Linked DNA regions of Lonchura striata. The protein of the gene in region 2 purifies or fractionates together with the protein of the main gene of each other region. This does not show direct contact. Links are inferred from orthologs where the notes say so. Each region holds a gene or a part of one and is shown on either strand. Other genes may lie near its edges.

Region 1 (6,923 bases), on a different chromosome or scaffold from region 2:
GCAGAAAGTAGAGGCCATGTATGCAACTGGCAGCCCTAAAGGATAATACACTACCCTTTGTTTATGAGGAGGATACAAATAAACCACAGAAACACTAGCAATACTCATTTGTACTTATCAGAGTTTAAAATATTCTAGAGAAATCTTCCATGTTGCAACACTCATTCTGAAAACCATCTCTAAGGAATTGTAGGGAAAGTGAATGTACCATTTGACACATTAGGGACACGCTTTCTTCCCTATTACCAAGAAAACCAGCTTCTTGAAAATTCTTAAATAATGAAGGATTCAGCATTACACAACCATGCACAAAATACTACAAGATTGCAAGAAGCATTTAGTCACTATCATAACAACAAATCCATAGGGGCAGATTCAGTGGAGTCACAGACCATGTTTCTTTCAAAGGCTGGAAAAAACATGGAAAAGAAACAGGAAGGGATGTGTCAATCCTTCCATACCTCATCCTTTGACAGTATCTACTCTATGCCATCTGGCTATTAAAGACTGTCAGCACTTGAAGAATATCAATGATGCTTTCCTGACTGCTTCTACAGAAAGGAAAAAGAAATAAAAGTCCTAGAAAATTCAGCTGTTATACTACAAAGTGAAAGCTATCATCCTTCTGCCTCCTTTTTCTTTAGGGGAAAAAATACTTCAGCTGTACTTACTGTATTTCTTAGCAAAATTGCATTTTGAGAACCGAATATTGCTGAATCAGTGTGAGGATTATGGCATTGAACTTTAAAAACCCTGGTGATGGAGCAAAGCCCTCACCCTGCACACACCTCTTACTGCCCAACGTGTTGGAACAGAACTCACTTGGGAGATAAATACAGGTAACAGAAATCAACACTTAACTTGTCTATATGACATTTCTTATGAAGGGCGGCCTTACAAAGAGAGCCTGAATGTAGCCCCTGAGAGCTTTGGAAGGCTTATGTGAATCTCTTATCTGATAGGCAGAGGAGCGACTGGCCCATCTCACACCCAGTTGCCAGTGACTCCATATGATTTCACTGCCCCTATGAGCAGCAGCACAGAGCTCCTTGGCAGAGTCGATCTGCCAAGGAAGGTACACAGGCACAAGGCAGATACAACCACTACTCCTCCCACGGGCTGAGGGCTGGCATCCCGCCGGGGTTGGCTTGGGAGACAGCTCCCAGAGAAATCCATTTAACACATTCCTGCACAGCTTCTGCCGATACCGTCCCCATGGTCAAGCCAAGCTAAAAACAAACACCCCTGCCCAGCCAGCTGTCCTTGCTAGAAGAGGAGCATGCATTTTTACAGAAACCAAGATAACTGAGCCCGCTGTCTTCTACAGAAGCTTTTCTGGTGTGATTTTGTTCCATTACATCTGCTTGTGTAGCTAACAGGTATCTTCATACAACATGTTACATTTTTAAATGCTTGGTTTGTTTTTCTGGACCTTCCCATATGTATTAAACCAAAGCATTTTGAAGCTACCATCTGTAGCACAGGAATTGACACATTCTCTGCTGTTTTTAGGTATTTGTTCATTCTAAAAGGGACTTTTAAATTGTCTGTTAAGATTTACTAAAGCACTATTGTATGAAACAAGCACAACAAGTGGAACATACTACAACTCAGATATTTCTTATAGATTCCATCCTCAAAATATTAACGACCATATTCAGTAAATGCAAGATTTACTTGTGAATATCCTTACTTTTTGTATCTTTTGTCATTAAACATGAAAGCTAAAAATACATGTACACCTCCCTACTGCATACTTCGGTCCACATTCAAACAGAAACTCCCAGACAACATAAACAACTGTGTTTCAATCTCCAATGAGCAGTGGGATGAACACTATAAAAAGAAATTAAGACTTACTATTTTTCCACCTCCTCTCAAAACACAAGAGTCTAAACCAACTCCTGTTTGGTCAGTTGTGACTTTGTAAACTCTGTATCTAACAAACCACACACTTCCAGGAATAGCATAAATCTCAGAGCAAGGATTACAAAATCATTCTTGGGTTTTGGTTGGGATTTTCTCTTTTAAGAACCCCAACAAACGTCCCTGCAAAGAGAAGCAGTTCAATCTGCTTTTATGTTTCAAAACTACAACAGATCTATTTATTCTGCTAGGTATACACTGAATGTTTGAACAGAAAAATTAGTCATTGGTCAGACAATATAGCTCGCTATCACTACACCCTTCATTTGAAGGAGAACCAAAGAAATTTATTTTATATTTCAACCAGCTGAAATGATGGTAAATTCTCCTGGGTTTCCTTTTCTTAAAAAATAAAAATTAAAATATTTTTTTAAAAAAAAATTAAAAATCCCAGCTTCTCATCTGGCATACAACCAAATGTTTTTTAGCCGCTGAAAAATCCTGCTATTGGTCAGGCTCGGCAATAGGCACATCCTATACACCTGGTGATGCGCGCTCAGCCCCGCATCCCGGGCCGGAGTCGGGGCACATAAGCCGGGAGCGGGGATCAGTCAGGCCTCTTCCCGGCGCCAGCCCCGGGCTGGGAGCTCAGGCGAGCGCGATGCCAGGTTAACAATTTGCCTCCCTCCTGGACGCCGCGGCAGCCCTCCATTTTGTCAGTCGCCTCAATTTAAACGCTTTCCAAGGCGAAGGCAGAACTTCAGCATTTCTTCGGGAGCCCTCCGGGGCTTTAAAGCATCCTTAAGCGTTTTGCGCAGCGCGCTCGGAGCCAGCGCTCCAGGCTAAGTCTAGCAGGGTGGCCGCGCACGCCGCGGCTCACGGGCAGCGCCGAGCCCCCCGCGGGCTCCTTCCCATCGCTTCTCCCGGCGGCGCCTCCTCCCGCCCCGCGCTCCGGCGGCGCCCGGCTTCCTCCCCGCACGGGGAGAGGCAGGTGGATGTCGGGAGGAGGACAGGGAAGGGACGGGGGGCAGGAGCCGCCGCGGGCAGCAGGGTGCCGGCAGCAGGTAGGGAGGGCAGCGCGGGGCGGCCGCCGGTGCCGTGCGGTGTCTGTGCCGTTCCCCCTCCCTCCGGCCCCCGTTCTTACCGCCTGCGGAGGCGGCCGGAGCCCGCCCGGGCCGGGGCAGCGACCTGTCCACTGCGGGCGCTCTCCTCCGGAGGTGAGGGGGCGGCGGGGAAGGGCATGGGGAGGAGGGAGGGAGGGCTCCCGCCGCCCGCCTCTCCCTCACCTCCCTCCCCCTCCTCCCCGCCCAGCCCGGCCCGGCCCGGCCGGGCCCCCCCGCGCCCCTCGCCTCCCTCCCGGCTTGGCTTCCCCGGTGCGGCCCTGGATCGGGGTCCCCCTGCGCTGCTCCGGCACTTACTGTGTCACCCCTGCCAGTCTGGCTGCCTGTCCCCTCGGCAAGGATAAAATCAATTGCCCACCAGCCTCGCCGCTGCTGCCCGAAACAACTTTGTCTTCTTCCAGTCCCTGGGAAAGTGCCTCTTTTTCCTACTTCTTCAATGGGGGGGGGGGGGGGGGGGGGGGGGGGGGAACCCAAAGAAAAAAAGGCCCTCCCAAAAACAACAACCAAGCCCCAGCAAATTTAAAAATTAGAAAAGAAAAAATATATTGGGTTTTTTTGTTTTTTTTAAAGGGTGGGAAGCGTGAAAGTGGGAGGGGAGAGGAGAAGAAAAAGGAAATATTTGGGGCTTTGGAACTCTCTTTTCCCTCTCTTTCCCCAAGATGGCTTGAAAAAATTCAAAAGGGACAGTAATAAGGGGGACACACAGAGAGAAAAGCTCGGGAGGACGGAAAAAGTTTGGGGGGTTGGGGTTTTTTGTGCGCGCGTTTGGTCTTTGTGTTTGGGGTTATTGGTTTGGTTTTGTTTTTAAGCCTTAGGATCCCAGAATGACAGAAGCGACTACAAACACTCGGGAAGAGCAAGCACAAGGAGAGGAACGAGCGAGAGAAAAGAGTTTTGCTGGTCCGTAAACTTCAAGCTGCTGGGATGAGGTCATTGGTGTAAATATAAAGCGATGGCGTCATTTGAAACCAATCACAGTGAATGAACTCAGCCGGAGGGTGAAGGTGGGGGGAGAGGGTGAAGGAGAAAGAGGAGGAGCAGTGAGAGAGGATCCCGGCGGCGGGAGGCGATGGCGGGGGCCGGATGGGGGTTATCTCACTTTCCGCAGCCTGCTGCCCGGCTGCCGCGGCCCCTGGGAGGAGCGCGGCCGCGGAGCGATTCAACCGAGCCGCCCCGCGGCCCTCGCCCCGCTCCGGCTTCTCCACAGGGCCCCCCCGGCCCGCCGCCCCTTCCCCGCTCGGCCCGGAGCCCGCCGGGCCGGTGGCGCCTCGCAGCGCCTCGGGCCCGCAGCCTTGTCCGCTCGGCCATCCCTCTCCTCGCCCTCTCCTCCCTGAACCAGCTGAGGGGGCATCCGTAAATACCGCCCTGGCCTTTGCTTTTGCAGTGTGCCGCTGTGCATTGCGGTGTAGAACCACCTGGGTGTGAAGGGTCACATCCTCCTGTGGTAGTGTTACTGGATGACACAACCACAGTGTTTGAGGGAAGGGAAAGGAACTTAAAGTCATCCAGTTCCAACCCCTGTCACTGAGGTGGGCAGAGCACCCTCTGGGTCATGTGGAACACTGGGGGCCTTTGACCTTTAAATAACCTTAAATAAATTTAAAAATCTGAAGCCATACAGTGAAAATTTATGCAGATCCACACAAGTACATGTTACTTTTGCCTGACATGTATCTGTTATGGCTACTACCAAGCCTAACTGGTAAAGTACATCCTTCAGGGGCTGCATGGGTCCTACCTGTCGTGCATCCCTCTTCCAGGCATGACAGAATCTTCTGGTCCTCTTTCTTCCTTAGAAGCATCATTACTATGATGGCACGTTACCTGCTGGCGCTGCAGGACATGCAGGACAGCTTGCACACCAGAATTCAAACTCCATCACCTCTGACAGTTTTGAATCCCTGTGCCAGAAACCCTTGGAAGACAGCATGAGAAAGAGGATTAACTGCATAGGTCCTTATGTTCTTGGTGGCTGTCTCTTCCAAAGTGCCGTTGGAAAAGCACATAGCTGTCGCTCACAGTAAAATGGTTTGGGTGTTTGGTGTTTCAGGAAGAAGGTAACTCAATACATTATATGGGGGGAGAGGGGGCTCTGTGCTGTCAATATTGACCAAGAACCACCTTGATGATGCCCTCGTGCTAAGGAGTTGTGAGCTATCTCATAACAACACTTTGTTGGCATCTGTACTGAACTCCTGTGTGAGGGAGTGCAGAGCATGCAGGCAAGAGAGAAGCCCAAGCTCCACAGAAGAGACAAAATATCAAAAGCAGTGAAGAAATTATAGTAAAGCAATTAACATTGGGATGTTCACTGTTTTGCACGTATCCTTTTCCAGTAGCTGAAAAGCAGTTTTGCCCTTCCGTCTCAATAAAGCAGTGGTCCCAAAGATGCCTTTCTCAAACCCCAAAAGTGCCCACAGCATTAAAAATCTGCACAATTAACTGCTGATTAATGGAGCTAGAAGTGACCCATTTTGACAAAGGGGATCAGAGAGGGTGCCAGAGAAACTGGAGGTGACAGCCAGTGCCCCAGCTCTTTCATTCCAGAAAATTGCAGGAACAAATAGTTCCAGCATGGTTATCCTCACAAAGAGAAGTGGGGAGCAGTGGTGAGAGCTGCATGGTGAGGAGGAAAGACATTTCAATTCTCTCTTCCCTTTTCTCATCTCAACTCACTAGCACCATATGTAACAGGTTTAGGTTTTGTTTAAATTGTGGGACTGTGAAAAATTCCTGACTGTAAAGCTGTAACAATAAGAATTACTTGGGATATTTTGAAAATATTTTTCTTTTTAGCTAAAAAAAGATATATGCAGAAAAGTTTGTACTAGAACAGCAAATGAAAGCTTTTTCAGTATAGAGTCAGGATTTTTATTTTCCTAATGTAATAAAAGATGTGACAAAACCAGTGGCATCACAATTAATTCCTGCACATTGAAATTATTACTAAGAATAACTTTTTCTTTTCAGCCAGGCTTGAGGTAAAAATCTGATCTGGGAGAACATTGCAGAGTGAAACTGGACAGATTCATTGCTAACCTGAAGACAAAGCAGGAGTCAGGAAGACTCAAAGACAGCAGCATCAGACCTCTCTTCACTGAGAGTAGGAGCTGTATCCTTTGCCTCCTGTTTGCAGTGGCCAAACTGTGAATGTGTTGGCAGCTGACATCCCTCAGCTGGCCAGGGCCACTTCTGTAGGAGCAGAAACGCCTTTGCATGTCAGAGTCTTAACATCACTTAACTCTTTTTTTCCCCCTCTGAGAGCCTTTCATTCCTCTCTACCACTTGTGCAGCAAGCTCCTGGAAATGATCTGAACTGCAGGTGCAAACCAGGAGAGTGTCTTTGGCAACCCCCTGAACCATCTGGGAGAGAGAGTGCCTGGCTTTGCTGGTGTCCCTGGCTGCTGACCTCTCATTCCCAAGTTTTTAAAGTCTGTCAAGTCTGAAATGTATTTTGCTACACTTCTGGTGATGGACTTTTTGGCCTAAGTTCACTGTTTGTTTTTGAGAAAATGGTACTGAAAGAGTTAAGGTTAACATTCCTGTCTTGTGCCTCCTTATGAGGCTTATGAGATAAGAAGTGTCTATATGGGGTAAAACAAGGGCAAAAGATATTGTGGTGGCTATCCAACCAGCTATGCAACAGCCCTTGAACTTTGACACTCCCCCCTGTCCTACCTGTTCAAGCCTCACTTCTGGCAGGAGTGCCTGCAAGTGTGTCACCCCTCACTGCTCCTGTTCTTGGGGGCCAGGGAGAGGAAATAGCTGGCTAATTTCAAGAGAAGGTCATGCACCTTGTTTACAAAGGTTTCTCTTTCTTTATTACTAAAAGCTAGTGCAGCTTCTTGTTCCTTTTCCAGCTAATGGATTTTGTGGCACTTCATTTGGTTAATCAGTTAGCAGTGATTAAACAGGAGAAAGATAAATGACAGCCTG
Region 2 (7,340 bases):
AAGTAATTACATCAGAGAGTACAGTAATGGACTCAACCTCTTTAGCTCTGAAGTGCTACAGTAACAAGAGCACAGACCAACAGTTTTCCTGGGTGTCCATCCCTCTTCCAAACCTTACAAGTAAATTACCTCAGTAATTGCTGAAGAGCTCTCTAACAAATTCTCCCCTTCATAATTTTGCATTCACTATGACAGATAGTGCCATTAGAGCCCAGAGTGATTTGCACAGGCAAATCACTTGAAACTTGTTCCTTAAAACAGGAAATGCAAGCAGCCCCTTCCCCCGGAGCATCTGTGCTCTGTGCTGTCTGCTTTGGTTACTGGAAGAGCTCTCTTCACTGGCCCCACCGAGTATCTGTGAGCCAATGCAAAACAGAAAAGCCTCGAGGACAACCCAGACACCCACCCTAGAAGGGCACAAAGCCACACAAATAACACTTAGTTCCTTCAAAAATTAGGATTTCTGTCTTCCTCAGTGCATGTAGGAGGCAGCAGCATCTTTTCCATGTTTTAAGTGAGCTGATGAACTCAAGGAATCTGCAGTAAAATACGAGGAAGACCTCCAAGACCTAATAAAGACTGAGTTTAAACCAAACTGTAATAGTTTTAAGAGATTCTCAAGAAATGTCTAGAGTCCCTTTTACCTTCTAGTTTCTCAAAATCTCTGCAGCATTTTAAGAGGCAGACATTCAACTGGGTCATCTCCGGCAATAATTTAGACAGTCAGTTTACCTGACATTTCCTCTTAGAAGCTTTAGGAAAAAAGCAGAGGAGAAAGGATCAGCAAAGGGAGAATGTGGGCTACCAACTTTCTGCTCTGTCACAGGGAGAAGGAGGAAGAAAACAGTATCTCCTACACAATAATATTAGAGGCAGTCAGATGCAGCTCCACAGCCAGCTAGCACTAACATGAGACCACAGGATGCCTCAAGGGCAGCTCCCAGACTTTCCTGGTACATCACACCCTTCCTTCCAACCCTTTTCATTACTCCACAGCTATGCACTCTGAGGTACCAAGTGTTTTGATTAATAGTTCCTAGGCACCTATGGTATTTTCACTGAATCTTCAATATTGTAAGAAAAGTACAGCTGGAAGGTCAAGATCCTCCTCTGCAAGGACTTAAGAGACAAAACCAAAAAAGTACAGATACCAAGTTACAGGATATCAACTTCTTAGCTACACAAGAACAATGCTGTACCTCTTCAGGAATTAATGAAAAAAATTTCTGTAACAGGGACAAAGAAATATGGGAAAACAAAATTATCCTGATCCTGAAAAACTCTTCCCTTTAAGAATCACTGTCTGCACAAAGCCACCTTGCAAAAATCACTTGGAGATGAGCATAAGCTCCTTAGAAAAGCCCCAAAGAGAGAAATGGGATATCAGAACACTCAAGTTTTATGTATTTGAACACATTTACAATTCTCTTTGCAAAGCAGCTCTCCATGAGTCTTGACTTTCACTCAGGCTTCAAGTTGGCTGGAATGCATCAGGACATATATTACTTCAGACGTACCCACTACTGTAAAATTAGCTGCCATGCAATTGTAGCTGTTCACAGCACTTCAGACAATCCATTCTGGGGGCAAGACCCACAAATAAAAATAGATTTCCTGCTGTGCAAATAAGAAGTATATCTGTCAAATAAGTTTCTTAGTATTTACCTGTTATTCTCCTTCTAGAAAAATAACCAACACACCAAACCTGCCAGTAGTAGGCTTATACACAATTGCAGTGAGAAATCTTTAGAAGCTGGAAGCAACTGCATTACAGAATGCATCCTGCATTAAACAGATACTTCCCTAAAATGTATTTATTAAAATGGCAATTTATTATTAACCAGATTTGTACTCTGGATATCTTCAAGTCAAAAGTTTATGAAACAGACTGGGCACACATTCCCAGGGCTGTTTTGGTTACAGAAATGTTATACTGACAACAAAACACAAGAACAACATGAAGCTTGCCTGGATTTTTAAGCCTCAAGCTAAAATTCTACTGCTGACAATATTCACAATGAATAGATATACACACACACGTGTATTTATGAAAACATATGGAAAAATCTCCCCCCATTCTCTTATTGACCTTTGCTAAAGCATTTCTAATTCAGGTGTGCCCTTTTAAGTTTTATCACCCAATAGCATCAAGGGTTTTTTTTTAATTTTTACAGCAGTATATATCAAAAGGAAATAGTCCAACTACAAAATCACAGTGAGCTAGACCTCATTCCTCTACTGACTCTTTAGAACGAAAGTGTAACAAAGCACTAGCTGGGTAACCCCCAAGGATTACAGCAGTTCAGAGACAGTTTGCAACTGAAAACTCTTGGAAAGTAGACCTTTTTCTTTAAGCAGCCCACATTACTACTGGCCAAACGAAGATTTCACCACTACCTGTTACAGTGAATAGCATTCAGCTATTACACACAGACGCACTGAAAGGATCTCAGAACTCTGCCAGGGCAAGCTGGTGTAAAGAGAGAAAAAGTTTAAACATGCATGTGCTGCAAGCAATTTCGCCGTTCATGTAGGAAGCGAGCAGGAAGATTCTTCCCGCATCTTTCCTAAAACTTCTGCTAAGAAATCGCTACGGCTGCAGAGAGCCCGGGCTGGCCGCGGCCGCGGGACCCGCGGCGCTCGGCGCTGCTGCGCTCCGGGACGGGGCTCCGGGGCCGCCGAGCCGGGCACGGCACGGAGGACGGGGCAGCAGGACGGGCAGAGGCGGCCCCGCGGGGCCGGGCCTGCGGCTCGGGGAAGGCGGGGATCGGCCGCAGGAGGAAGGGCCCGGCCCTGCCGCTGCCCCGCGTCCCTGCAGCGCGCCCGGGCCCGGGCAGCGGCCCGCGGGGCGCCCCGGCTCTGCCCGCGCCGCGGGACGAGCCGAGCGCTCCGTCCGGCGCAGGGCTCGTCCCGCCCCGGCCCCGCCGCCCCAGCACGCCCCTCGCGGCCGCCCCCTCACCTGGGTCGGACGCGGCGGGACCGGCCCCAGCCGCCGCCTCCCGCTGCCCCAGCCACAATGGCCTCCCGGCGCTCCGCACGGCGCCGCCCCTGACTGACAGCCGCCCCGGCCAATCGCAGCTCCCGCCGGAGAAGCTCAGCCAATCGCGCTTGGGGGTGGATCTTACTGACCACTATATAAGGCAGGGCGCTGAAGGACCGCAGTGACGGGGCAGTTCGGCCCCCGCCCCCGGCGGGGTGTCGCTGCGTGATGTCACCGTTTCTCGATTGCCATGATGTCATGCATGACGTCATGGCGCCACGGGAGTTATGTCACCGCCTGACGTCAGCCTGTCACGATAGTCGTGATGTCACCTGACAGCAGTGCTGTGGCGCCCATCCTGCTGCCGGCTCCTCACTGCTCCGGCAGGCCGGCAGAAGCCGTGGCTGAGGCGAACCCTGCCCTGCACAAGCACCCCAGAGTGGCAGCGGTGGCATGGCCCGGTGGCAGCGGTGACATTCCCGGTGGCAGCGGTGACATTCCCGGTGGCAGCGGTGGCATGGCCCAGTGGCAGCGGTGACATTCCCGGTGGCACCTGGCACCCCGGCACAGCGCACCACAGCAGGCCCGACCCCGGGGCTGCCATAGCCCTGCAGCACAGCCTCCCCTCAGCTTTTCCCGAGGGATGGCTCCGGAGGGAAGGGATTCATTCCCTCCCGGAGCTATTTTCAACCCCACGCAAAAATCAGAAGCCTTCTCTCCATTACGTACCCCCCGCCCCGACACGAGGAGTGCTTGTTTTTAAAACAGGTGCTGCCTAAAAATAAACTCAATTTGCCACCTCTCCTAGGACTGATGAGCGCTTTCATTTCTGTGATTTCTGTTCCCACAGATGATTTTAGAAAAATGTACCTGTAATTTTTTAAATAAATCAATTTAATGTCACAAATAGACCAGATGACCTCAATATGCCTTTATAGTTCCACTTTTTAATATGAAGAGAATATTACTTCTAGATCAAGAGTAAAACAGGCCTTTTCATGCCAAAACATGTTAGATACAGAGTTACATATTCTTGGCATTTAGGTCACATTAGTAGTATATTTTTTGTTATGATTTTGGTTTTATTATTGTTATTAAAAGTACTAGGGAAAGTATATCCTATTATAATAAGCTAGTGTAACACTTTCAAGCTCTTAAGTAAACATTCAAACACTTTTTCCATTTAGAGCCAAGCCTGCAGAGGAATATCATAAACTTTACTGTTAAACTAACTTTACATTTTAGTTAATAAAATGAAGAAAAATTAAATACTATGCCTTCTGGCCATTTAGAAATAAAAACTAAACAAATGAGCAGAGAACTTATTGTGTGTATCTGCCTTTTTTTTTTTTTTGCAGGTTTATAGGTTCTTCACTACTGCAAGTTGGTTCACAACTATCAGTGTGTTTTTGCACATCTATATGCTACTAAAATAGGACTTTCTTCAGACTTGAGATAAAGGTCATCAAGTTTAAAAAAAAAACAAAAATGAAATAAATAAAAACCCAAACACACATACACACACAAAGAAACAAACCACAAAGTAAGAAGAATTATATAATCTTTTAATTGCATTGTCATTTCATTGTACCCTCTTCAAACAAAAATATCACTTGAGAGACATCCAGTTCCCTTATTCTGTTGCAGTATACATGTTATGCAAATAAAAGCTAGGGTGGCATACAAAACAAATGTCGTTCTGACTTTTCAGAACAGTTAAAAGAAGCAGAAATTGAAAACATAGCTGGGAATTTACAGCCACAGAAGAACTTTGCAAATGACTTTTTAAATATGAAACACAGATTCAATGGGGGAAGGGAAGCTGGGAAAGAAGAGGGGACAACAAATTTCCAGTTTGAGGCTGAAGGAGGAAAATCCCTAATAACTGTACAGAAGTATCAACACGCTCAGTGTTTACATTCTGAGCATTACCAATGTTACAGATAAGCAATGTACTAAAAAAATAACTTAAAAAAGCTATACAAATTGTACTTATAAATACTATATCTTTGAAACTAGTTATGTAGTGTGGGCTAAAAAAATGTTCACAGTTACTCTGGAGAGAGCTGTATATATATATATATATTGCACAGTAAAAAAGTTCATTCAGTATACCATGTGTAAACAACTTTTATCTTCTTTGGTAATTTCAGGACTTAGAGGAGTATTTGGTGGGAGCAAAAGCACTTGGGTACAAGGCACATCAAAAGCTTTTAAAGCTGCAAGATAAATCCTTCTGACACTTTCCAGTTAGCACTATCATTCTCTTTAGAAAAAACATTTACCTATCAATTCAGAACAACACATTATACAAGTATAACTCAGAGGTCTGGTGACAAAGACATCAGCTGTTCTTGGCTGTCACTCTACAGTAACAGATTTGGCCAAATTTCTTGGAAAGTCCACCTGGAATGAAGAGACAGTCTTTCAGTATGACAGAGTAATACTGGCATTCTGCATTTGAAAGTTCCTTCAGTGTGATTTTTCTGACTTCCTAATGAGTTCTGTTTGATTCTATACACATTAACACACACAGCAGGCTATTGATCTGCAGGTAATGACTTGCAGCTGAATTCATCTGTGCTTCCAAAACCCTCCTAACAAAAACATATTCGTTTTGCATAGGATACCTTTCCAAAGCAGTCATCATTGTCAAACTGACACATCAACAAACCAAGGTGTACAAAGCACTGACCTATTTTAAGTTAAAGTACAATATCGCATTTCAAGATTAGGTTCCCTGGAAAAGTCCCATTTGCACTCTTAACTAACCAAACAGCTAAAGAGCTTTGCAATTTTTTAGAAGGATACTAATTGAAAAAGACAAAATGGAAGAATTGGCACTGAAATGTCACCTCTATAAGCACACTCACTATGAGATTCACTAGCTGTTTTCATAGCTAGTAAATCTTAGATATGCCATATAACTGTGTCTGTCAATTTATACTGGTAGAAGGAAATTCAAAACTGCACTAAAACAAGTGTTAAATATAGAAAACACTTACATCATATCCTCTGAGAACAGCCAGGTGAAATGAAAGTAACTGTAGAGGAATGACACTCAACACTCCTTGAAGGCAGTCAACTGTATGAGGCAGCTCAATAGTTTTGTAGGCAAATTTTGAGCTTTCAGTATCTTCTTTAGAACACAGAATGATTGGGCGACCCTGAAAATAAATTTTTGCATTGTTAAGTGAAGAGCTAGCCTAGAATTGCTTTGAAATATTGTTCACAGCATGCCTGTATGTGTTTGAAGACATTCAAGTAGCTAACAAAGGCAATGCCAGTCTTGCATAATGACTCTTGACTTTCCCTATATTGTAAGATTTGAATGTTTTCACCCTGTAGAGATTTAACATTATTCCATTTGCTTCAAAACAAAAAAACCCCAAAACAAACAAGCCATCTGAAAGCAGTTTTCACTGCTGATATTAACCTGTAATAAAAACCTTCAATGCAGATGTAGCATCTTATTTATAACTTAATAATTAACAATAATCAGCAGTACATCCCTTTCCAGGTGCACAGTCAGCAGCAGTGCAGTGGGCACAATCTCTTTTCCTATGACACAGGAGAAGTTAATTAGTTGAACACTACCTGCCGAGCAGTGATCTGTTGCAGAGCATTCTGGCACTTGGTGAAACAAGGATCCTTCATGATCACCATGATAACAGGCATTTGTTTATCTATTAGGGCCAAAGGCCCATGTTTCAGCTCACCAGCCAAGATACCTTCTGAGTGCATATAGGTGATTTCTTTTATTTTCTAGGAAAAAAAAAAAAAGCCTCAAATTATTACTAAATCAGCTGAGAAACAAGAGCCACAAAAATCAAAACACCCAGACTGTACCGCTGCCACTTAAATTCATGTACCCAGCATCAAGCATTAGTGAAAGCACACGGGTGGCTGCTGGGGTTTGTAGCAGGCTGTGGCCAGCAGCAGAGCTCGCCCATGCACATGGAGTAACCAACAAGGAATTTTAGGAACCAAACACCCAGCACAACCTTGGCTACTGCAGTCTACCTTTAACACACCAAACTCCTCTGAGTGATGGGTATGTGTCCATTTTACCAGTGTTCATAACATAATTAATGAGTTTCATGCATGAGCATCTCTTCTCAACATCAGCACACTGTTTCTGATGTTTTCAAATGGGTCAGCAACTTAAATTGCTAGTTTCCTGATTTTAAATAGACTAATTAAACACCGTGTTTATTATGTGAAAGAAACAAGAAAGTGGTATCACATCCAGGTTCACCTTATGTGTATGTTTAAATACTTCTAGTTATAAATAGTTTTATTGCAGTAGAATTAAATTGTAATGAAATAATAGAAATAACCTATTTTGCAGAATCCACAA
Region 3 (7,311 bases), on a different chromosome or scaffold from region 2:
AATGGGCTGCTGTTGGCACTGTTTTCATTTGCTGTCCAAAACCTTTCATCCCTGCCTGACACAGATAGTGTGGGGCTATATGTGAGCTTATGCAACTAACTGCTTGGGGAGTACAGGAGTTGTCTCCCACTGGGATAATCAGATTCAGTTTTGGAGCCTGTGTTTGAACCCAGAGCAACAGGGTTGCAAGTAGAAACTGAGTCAAATGTACCTGAGAAACCTGAAGTGGTTGAATTGAGTCTGTGAATAAATTTAATGAATAGCTGAAGAACCTTTCCTTCCCATTCCCTGGGGCTTTGATCTTACGTTCTTTTTCTGCAGAGAATCCACTGGGCAGACTGAACAAGTAAACAAAGAGTCACTTTTCTTAACCTTACTTTATTCTAAACTATTTGTAGTTTGCCTGGTGGATAACCCAGTTATCAACAGGTCTTGTCTCTAACCCAGCTGTTACTCCCATTGTCTTGGGGGTAGAAGGGTATAAAGAAAAAGAGATACTCCCCTACCCCCATCTTCTGCTGCAGAAAGAAGAAAGGGGAAAGATGTGCACTTTGTCTAGGTTACAGAAATTGTGACTTCTGTCATTTTGAGAGTTTCATGCTTAGGCAATGGTCTGTAAATAAAACTTTTTATAAATGTCTTTAACCCTCTTTTTGCTGTCATCCAAATTATTTCATTTGGTAAATGGAATTTTTGGGGCTGGATCTGTGGGGGTAAAGAGTCAAAGGGAGGGGAGGCCACATCTCCTCAGTGATCTAGAAGGCTTTGTGGAGGCAAGGGAGATCACATTTGCAAGGTTTCTGTCAATACCTGGGATATGGATGGTAGTATATGGAAGAGCTGCAGCTCAGGTAGTAGCACTGGGAATGACACGCATCAGACCAGTTAAAGATAACGGAAAAGCTTCTTTCAAGAAACCTTGTAAATAGGCTGGGATTCATCTACTTTGGCATCTTTTCCCAGCTGAAATAATACAGGTGGGTAAAACTGTGTGACAAGCAGGGAATGACTGTTCATTGTTTTCATTGATACTTAGAATTTGGCATGCTTGGTTAAAGTACAAGATGGCAGATTGAACAAGTCTGTGCCTTGCTTAGCTTTGTGACACATTTTTCCTCAGTTGTGGGTGCTAACAGTTTGAGTTCAAAAAGATTTGGCCAGTTTGTGGGGAAAGAAAAAGCCATCAGTAACCATTAGACCATCTTTGTTTCAGAAGCAGCAGGGGACTGCTGGAGGCTGTTGTAAAGAAATAGCATGAAATGGACACCAGTTTAGGGGTTTCTGTTCTCTGTGTCTCAGGGCAAGCTGGCAATGCCTGACCTGACATAGGCACCCCTAACACGGGTGTAGTGTGAGCTCTTTGCTTGGGCAGAGGGAGCAGTTGCCTTTTGATGCTCTGAGAGCAGTGGCTTTGGGATGCTCCCCACGGTGGTGTGAAGGCTGCTTTCAACTAAACATGGATACTGGAGCAGAGAAGTCCCACGGAGCTGTGAACAGTTGTTCAGCTTGGGTCTCCCGTCAGTGATGGAGCCTTGGCTAATGACTTCTAAGCTAAGTAATGAACTTGTATTAAATACACTAGACTTAGCAATCTAATTAGCAAGGACAGAGTCAAGTTCTTGTGCATCCTGCCATCCTCCTTGGTGCTTCTGTGTCGATGCACTTGCTGGAACCTCTACCTTAGCAAGAGTTCCATGACGTACATTAATTTTCTTAGTAACCAGCAAGACTTAGGAAGTGCATGTAGCCATGCAGTTCCTTGTGAAGGTTCAGCAGTGGGGCTTATCTAGGAAGGAAGTGCCTCAGCTCATGGTATTGCTAAATTGTTCTCTTGTTTCTGGCAAGGATCTTCTGGTCTTGGAAAAATAAAACTTCAGTGCTTGGGGTGGCTCACACATGGCAAAAACCTTCTGAAAACATCAGCATATGCCTTAAAAGATGATGAACCAGAATGACAGTAAACTCAGTCCAGCTTTTTCTAGCCAGAGTGGAATAATGTAAATTAAAGCTGAAGAGATTGGGTTTGAGGCTCCTCGTCTGTGCTGGCCATGATACCTGTTTTACCTGTCACAGGAATGATGGTGATGTGGCTCAGGATTGGAAATGGCTAACCTTGGATTTTTAGCAGAACTGCCTGCTCCATGTGCTGGTGCTTGAGAAAATTCCCTTCTTCCATGTCTCTTCTGTCTGCACAAGGAAGGAGCTGGAGTGGCTTCAAGTGGGGCTGGCTGAAAGGTCTGATAATAGAAAACACACCTAGATATGAAGAAGTGGAGCTGGAAATGTGGCCATTTGAGGCAGAGGGGGAAAGAACAGTAAGAAGGATGGCTGATGGAAAAAGAGGAGTCTGGTATCACAGCTGCATCTGGGTGGAGATCAGATGGTTCAGCTGGGGACGAGGAGCAGGAAAACTTCTCTGAGCACATAACCTCTCCTCAGGTTTCCTTTAAGGCTGAGTTGGTCTGGACTGAACCTGATGGTCAATTGGACAATTTGAAGGAGGAAAATCAGCAAATGCCTTGTGGGCAGATACTGCTGGGATGGAAGTGCTATCTCCTAATTTGCAGCAGATGTGCATGCACTCTCCCAGGGGCCGTGTGCACGACTGTGCATCCGAGGAATAGGCCTGACTGACAGTAGTGCAGGTAGGAAGGTCCATTTGGGTCTCCTGCCAGGCCAGCCTGAGTCAGGGATGGTGACCTGACTACAGGTCACGTCACTAAGGGGTGAGTTTTTGGTGCTTGGCAATCAAGCAGAAGGTGAGCTGCAGTGATGGTGATCTGGCTGTGGGACAAGGCAGCATCCTTACCTTATGCCCCAGGTCAGAGGCCAAATAACAGCCATGCTGCTGAGATCAGTTCTGGTAGATGGGGTTTATGCTTTGAGATGGAGCTACATCAAAGCTCCCCCAAAGCTCCTGGAACGAATGCTGGTGAGTCTCTTGGGTCCTGCATGTAATACAGTTCAGTCTGTGTATCCAAACAGCAAAGGGGACACTTAGATCGCCCTCAGGAGGCTGCCCCAGGGTTACCTGCACATGGTGACCCCGGGGGTGTGTGCTTGTCTCCACACTAGTCCAGGAATAACATCTCTTTCCAGTTTGTCTGGTAGGAGACTAAGACTCCTGAGAGAGAGCAGGACTTATGCCTTGGAGGGCTCTGCCTGCTTTTCTCTGGAGGAGCAGCTGACATCCTGGGTCTTGGCCAAGAACTAATACATCACCTCAATGGCAGTCAGCTCTGTGGTGTGAGAAACACTGATGGGACTGGATGTTTGAACTGCTAAAGAAGTGCCACTCATGCCATCCAGGACTCTCAGAGACACAGATTGGCAGCACAGTGGGCATGCAGGGAATAAGGAAAGTTCTCCTGTTCAGGTACAGAAGTAGCCTTGAGATCTAAAAATACTGATGCTGTCCACTTCTGTCCACAGCACAGTTTTCTGAGCTTGCAAAGCATGGGGAGAAGAGCAGGGAAGAGAAACCTGCCCAGGCTGGTAAGGAAGAGTAGCAACAATGAGTACCCACCCAAGATAAAATGCTTCTTGGAACATAGCTAGATACAAAAATGGGTTTGCCCTTTCTAGGAGAGGCCTGAATCCTTAAGATTCATTTTTCCCCCCCTGCTTTGTCCCTGTGGAAGGTATGTGTATGCTGCTTTTTAAATTCCCTTTGCAGTGCTTGCAGCCCTGCTGCAGGGATAGGTCTATACGGGGGCTGCCAGACCTGTTGCCAGGTGCGGCAAATATGCCATGGGTGCCAAAGTGCAGCGTGGTTGCTCCTGCTGCTCCTGCTGCCTGCAGGCGCCTCCCCGCTGCCGAAGAGACCCCTGCAAGTGGCCCCTGTGTCCAGCCCCTCGCCCTGGGCTCCTGCCTGCCCACTCGGCCAGCCGGCCCCGCTCCTGGGGTTGCTCCTCCCAGCCTTGGGAGACCCCCGGCCGTCCCTCGCACCTGCTCTTGAGGGTGCAGCCTCCAGCTGCGGGCACATCTGTCCCGCCGGGGCCGGCGTTCGCCGTGGCCCGGGCGGAGCGGACGGGGTCGGGGTGCGAGGTGACGCCTCCATCTGTGCCGTGCCTGTCCTGCAGCTGCCGCCGGGAGCCGCGGGATGGAGCCTCCGGGCCGCGCCCCCGCTCCCCCCGCCCGGCGGCAGGTATGTCCCTCCCCGCCGGCACCGCCAGCATCCCCCTCCCTTCATCCCTCCTTCCCTGCCTCCCTCCCTCCCGCCCGCCCTCCGCCTGCATGGAGAGAGCCACAGAATGGCGGAGCGAGAGAAAGGAGCTGCATCCCCGCCCGCCTCACCCTTCCTGGGGCTGCACCTCGCCTCGCCCCCCAATTTCAGGTACCGGCCGCCGTCCCCCCGCGGAACCCTCTCGGGGCTGCCCCTGCCCCCTGCCCGGGGCAGCGCTCCCCATCTGCTGCAGCCCCCGCCCGCACGGTCGCGCCGGCCCCCGCCTCCTCCAGCGCTTCTGCCCCCTCGGCGCGCAGCCCCCCGGCCCGGCCATCCCTTCTGCCCCCCGCCCCAGCCACCGCTGAACCCCACCGCAGACATCGCTCCAGCCCCCCATGGCTGCTCAGCCCGCCCACCCAAGCCATGTTGGCCCTCACCCCACACATACACCACTGCAGCTTCCCAGCCCCCTGCTTGCCCTCGTGTCCCCTCGCACCCCATCCCGCCTCCTTACCTGTCTCATCTCCTCTTCCAGCACCTCTTCCTCATGGAAGAAAAAAGCTTCATCTCTCTCCCCTCCCCAAGAAAAGCCTTTTCCCAGCCCTTTCCTAGAAATCCCAGGTGCTTCTGCTTCCTTGCTACCCCTGTGAAACAGGAACCCCAAGTGAGACGGTGGGAGAGTGCCAGAATTGATCCTCTTAGCAATACCAAGTGCTCCCATCGATTTGGGATGCAGGGGGCTGTGTCTCCTCTGAAACCCAATGAGGCTTGTCACAGGGACTTCCGATGGCGTGGGCCAGGCCAGAGATGCCTGTGGGTTTTGGAGCCTCTGGTGCCTGCTAAGGGTAGCTCTGGCACACGGATGTGCTGGGTAGGTAAGGGAGGAGCCCTGCCCCTGCCTGCAGGTGCGGTGTTCACTTGCCATAAGGGGAGGCTCGCTGCTCCTGGCAGCTGTGCCCTCGTCAGCCATTGCTCTCTGCTTGCCTCTGCCACACAGGGGTGCTGGGGGGAGCTGCCTGAAAAAAGGGGAATGGTACCAGCTGCCTTGCGTGCTGAGATTTTGGGTGGAAAGGAGAGGATGGTCCTCACCTGGGACCACAGCTAAGATCATGCCCTCCTCTGTCAGGCCCAGCCCCTGAGGCTGGGGAACCCATGGGTCCCTGAGAGGAAACAGATGGGTGCAGTCGAGCAAAGGTAGTGCTCAGGCAATTAATATTTGAAGGGCTGTGCTTCTGGACCCCCGTTGCTGGTGGCTCCGGGTCTTTGGCAGCTGCCTCCTATTGCAGCGCTGCCTGCGAGAGCTGCTGGGAGCTGTTGCAACATGGCTGGTGTACCCTGCAAAGCCAGCGATTAAACACTGCCTCTGGAATCATCCACCATGGAGAAGGGGCTTGGCCACTGAGCCAGGGGCTGGAGGCTGAGCTGCCGAGCAGCTCTGGGCCTGCCGCCTGCTGTCCTGGAGGTAGCGGCTGTGCCCTCGGCATCCTCCTGCTCCCCAGCAAACAGCCATGCCCTCGGAGGGAGAATGAGCTGCTGCTTCTGGCTGGGCCTCAGATCTTTGGAAAAGGAGCCCCGTGTGCTGCCAGCCTGCTCCAGGGAAGAACTGACCTCGTGAAGGATGCTGTGCAGCTGGGTGGAAAACTGAGGAGTCAAGGCAGGAGTGCAAAATCTTCCCCGGGCACCAAGCTCAGGGTGTAAGTGGAAGTAAATGCAGTGATGTGTCTGAGCCTGGGGCAGGGTATGGCAGATCAGAGGTGATGTTGTGGTGGGGAGTGTCGTGCGAGAAGGGAGCCGTGCTTGTGTTTCAGAAGCTGGGTTATGTGTCACAGCATGGCTTGTGCATGTCCCAGGTCCTGCATCCCTGCTGCAGGGCTCAGCGAGGGGCTGTTCCCCGCGGATGAGCTGGACCCAGCAGCGATGAATGCGGTTCAGAGTGAAGGCTCAGACCATGGCTGGCAGTGAGGTGAGCACTGCCCTCTGCCCCTGCCTGCTGCCTGCAGGATGAGGTGTTTCAGATTTCTGCCCTTTGGTACATGCATCTGCACTCCCAGCTCTGAGTGGTGACATGCCAGTCCAAGCATTAGGTGATCAGTTGGCTTGAATTGAGAGAGGGCTTGGTCCTGGCCAGCAAGCAGACTGAAGCATTGAAGAGACCAGGCATAGTGGCCTGGCAGTGATGGTTTTGTGTTGTCTGAGAAGAAGTGGGAGGAAAAGGATGGTGAGATAATCCCTCCTTTAGCCAGGAGGTCCTCCAGAGGTATCTGTTCATCACAATGAGAATAACACCATTTTAGGAGACAGCAATTACAAAAATCATTCTCATCCATCCTCCCTTAAGCTTCTCAAAGCCTTGCAGTGTGGTCTGTGTTCACTGGAGCTCCGTAACATCTTTCTCTGGGAAACGGTGTTGCAGCTCCTTGCCCTGCTAAGAAGCTTTGGCTGTGCTTTGTGGCAGGCTTTCCTGTGAGGGGCTTTCTGGAGCCTCTCTGGGTTAGGGGTCCCTCTACCCAGCATTAGAGGGACAGGGAGGACTGGCACAACTGGGGTGAAGCTGGATGCAGAGCTCACAGTGTTGCCTGTCCCACTGTCCCCAGGACTGTGGCTTTAATGTAGATGGAACCTGGGAGGGGTCACTGACTGATCCCCTCTTATCTCCTTCAGCTTTCCCTGATAAAAGTAAAGGGCATCCACCTAGCTACTGGGTAGGAGGACACCTAGGGGAAGAAACCCTTGGGGAGTTATTTCCATAGGTCAGGAGAGAGGGAAACTACTCTACTACTCAGGGAGTGCTGTCAGAAATCACAGCCCTTTGGGAAGGGAGGGGCTCTCTGAGAGAAGAAGTTCTCTCCGTCTTGTCGGGAAGTTCAAAGATGCACCTTCGGGCTGAGGCAAAAATCAGTTTAGTTCTGTGGTTTGTTTTATGTGTCTGTCGTGCTCATCTGGAGCTGTCAGCAAAGCCTGTTTGGAGGCAATGAATGAGCTGGGCGTTGGAATGGGGCTCCCTGTCTTCTTCTGAGGGGAGATGGAAGGGTTGTCTTCCTCTGAAGGAGGGAGAGAGGCGCCTTCTCATCAGTTTGAATAAAGCGTCTCTGTGGCCATTGAGATGGAAGAAAAAGGCAGGGGCCAGCCAAATGTAGGTTAGTTTT

What was found.
Region 1: the proteins of MAPK9 (region 2) and DUSP16 purify together in Homo sapiens (affinity purification with mass spectrometry; 6 studies listed by BioGRID and IntAct, with this or other methods). This does not show direct contact. The link is inferred for Lonchura striata from reciprocal best matches to the Homo sapiens genes MAPK9 and DUSP16.
Region 3: the proteins of MAPK9 (region 2) and MAPK8IP1 purify together in Homo sapiens (affinity purification with western blotting; 4 studies listed by BioGRID and IntAct, counting the BioPlex papers as one, with this or other methods). This does not show direct contact. The link is inferred for Lonchura striata from reciprocal best matches to the Homo sapiens genes MAPK9 and MAPK8IP1.

The regions. Positions count from the first base shown.
Region 1 is NC_134607.1:10,378,224-10,385,146, forward strand, and holds the start of DUSP16 (dual specificity protein phosphatase 16), read right to left. Parts: upstream 3,091-6,923; 5' UTR 3,011-3,090; intron 2,931-3,010; exon of another isoform or gene 2,708-2,930; intron 2,535-2,707; exon of another isoform or gene 2,414-2,534; intron 1-2,413. UniProt on the Homo sapiens protein: Dual specificity protein phosphatase involved in the inactivation of MAP kinases. Dephosphorylates MAPK10 bound to ARRB2.
Region 2 is NC_134617.1:7,228,218-7,235,557, reverse strand, and holds the start of MAPK9 (mitogen-activated protein kinase 9), read right to left. Parts: upstream 3,085-7,340; 5' UTR 2,960-3,084; intron 1-2,959. Other genes in the region: GFPT2 (glutamine--fructose-6-phosphate aminotransferase [isomerizing] 2), read right to left, coding at 5,342-5,386, 5,986-6,147, 6,578-6,745. UniProt on the Homo sapiens protein: Serine/threonine-protein kinase involved in various processes such as cell proliferation, differentiation, migration, transformation and programmed cell death.
Region 3 is NC_134608.1:38,226,784-38,234,094, forward strand, and holds the start of MAPK8IP1 (C-Jun-amino-terminal kinase-interacting protein 1), read left to right. Parts: upstream 1-4,221; 5' UTR 4,222-4,253; coding exon 4,254-4,336; intron 4,337-7,311. UniProt on the Homo sapiens protein: The JNK-interacting protein (JIP) group of scaffold proteins selectively mediates JNK signaling by aggregating specific components of the MAPK cascade to form a functional JNK signaling module. Required for JNK activation in response to excitotoxic stress.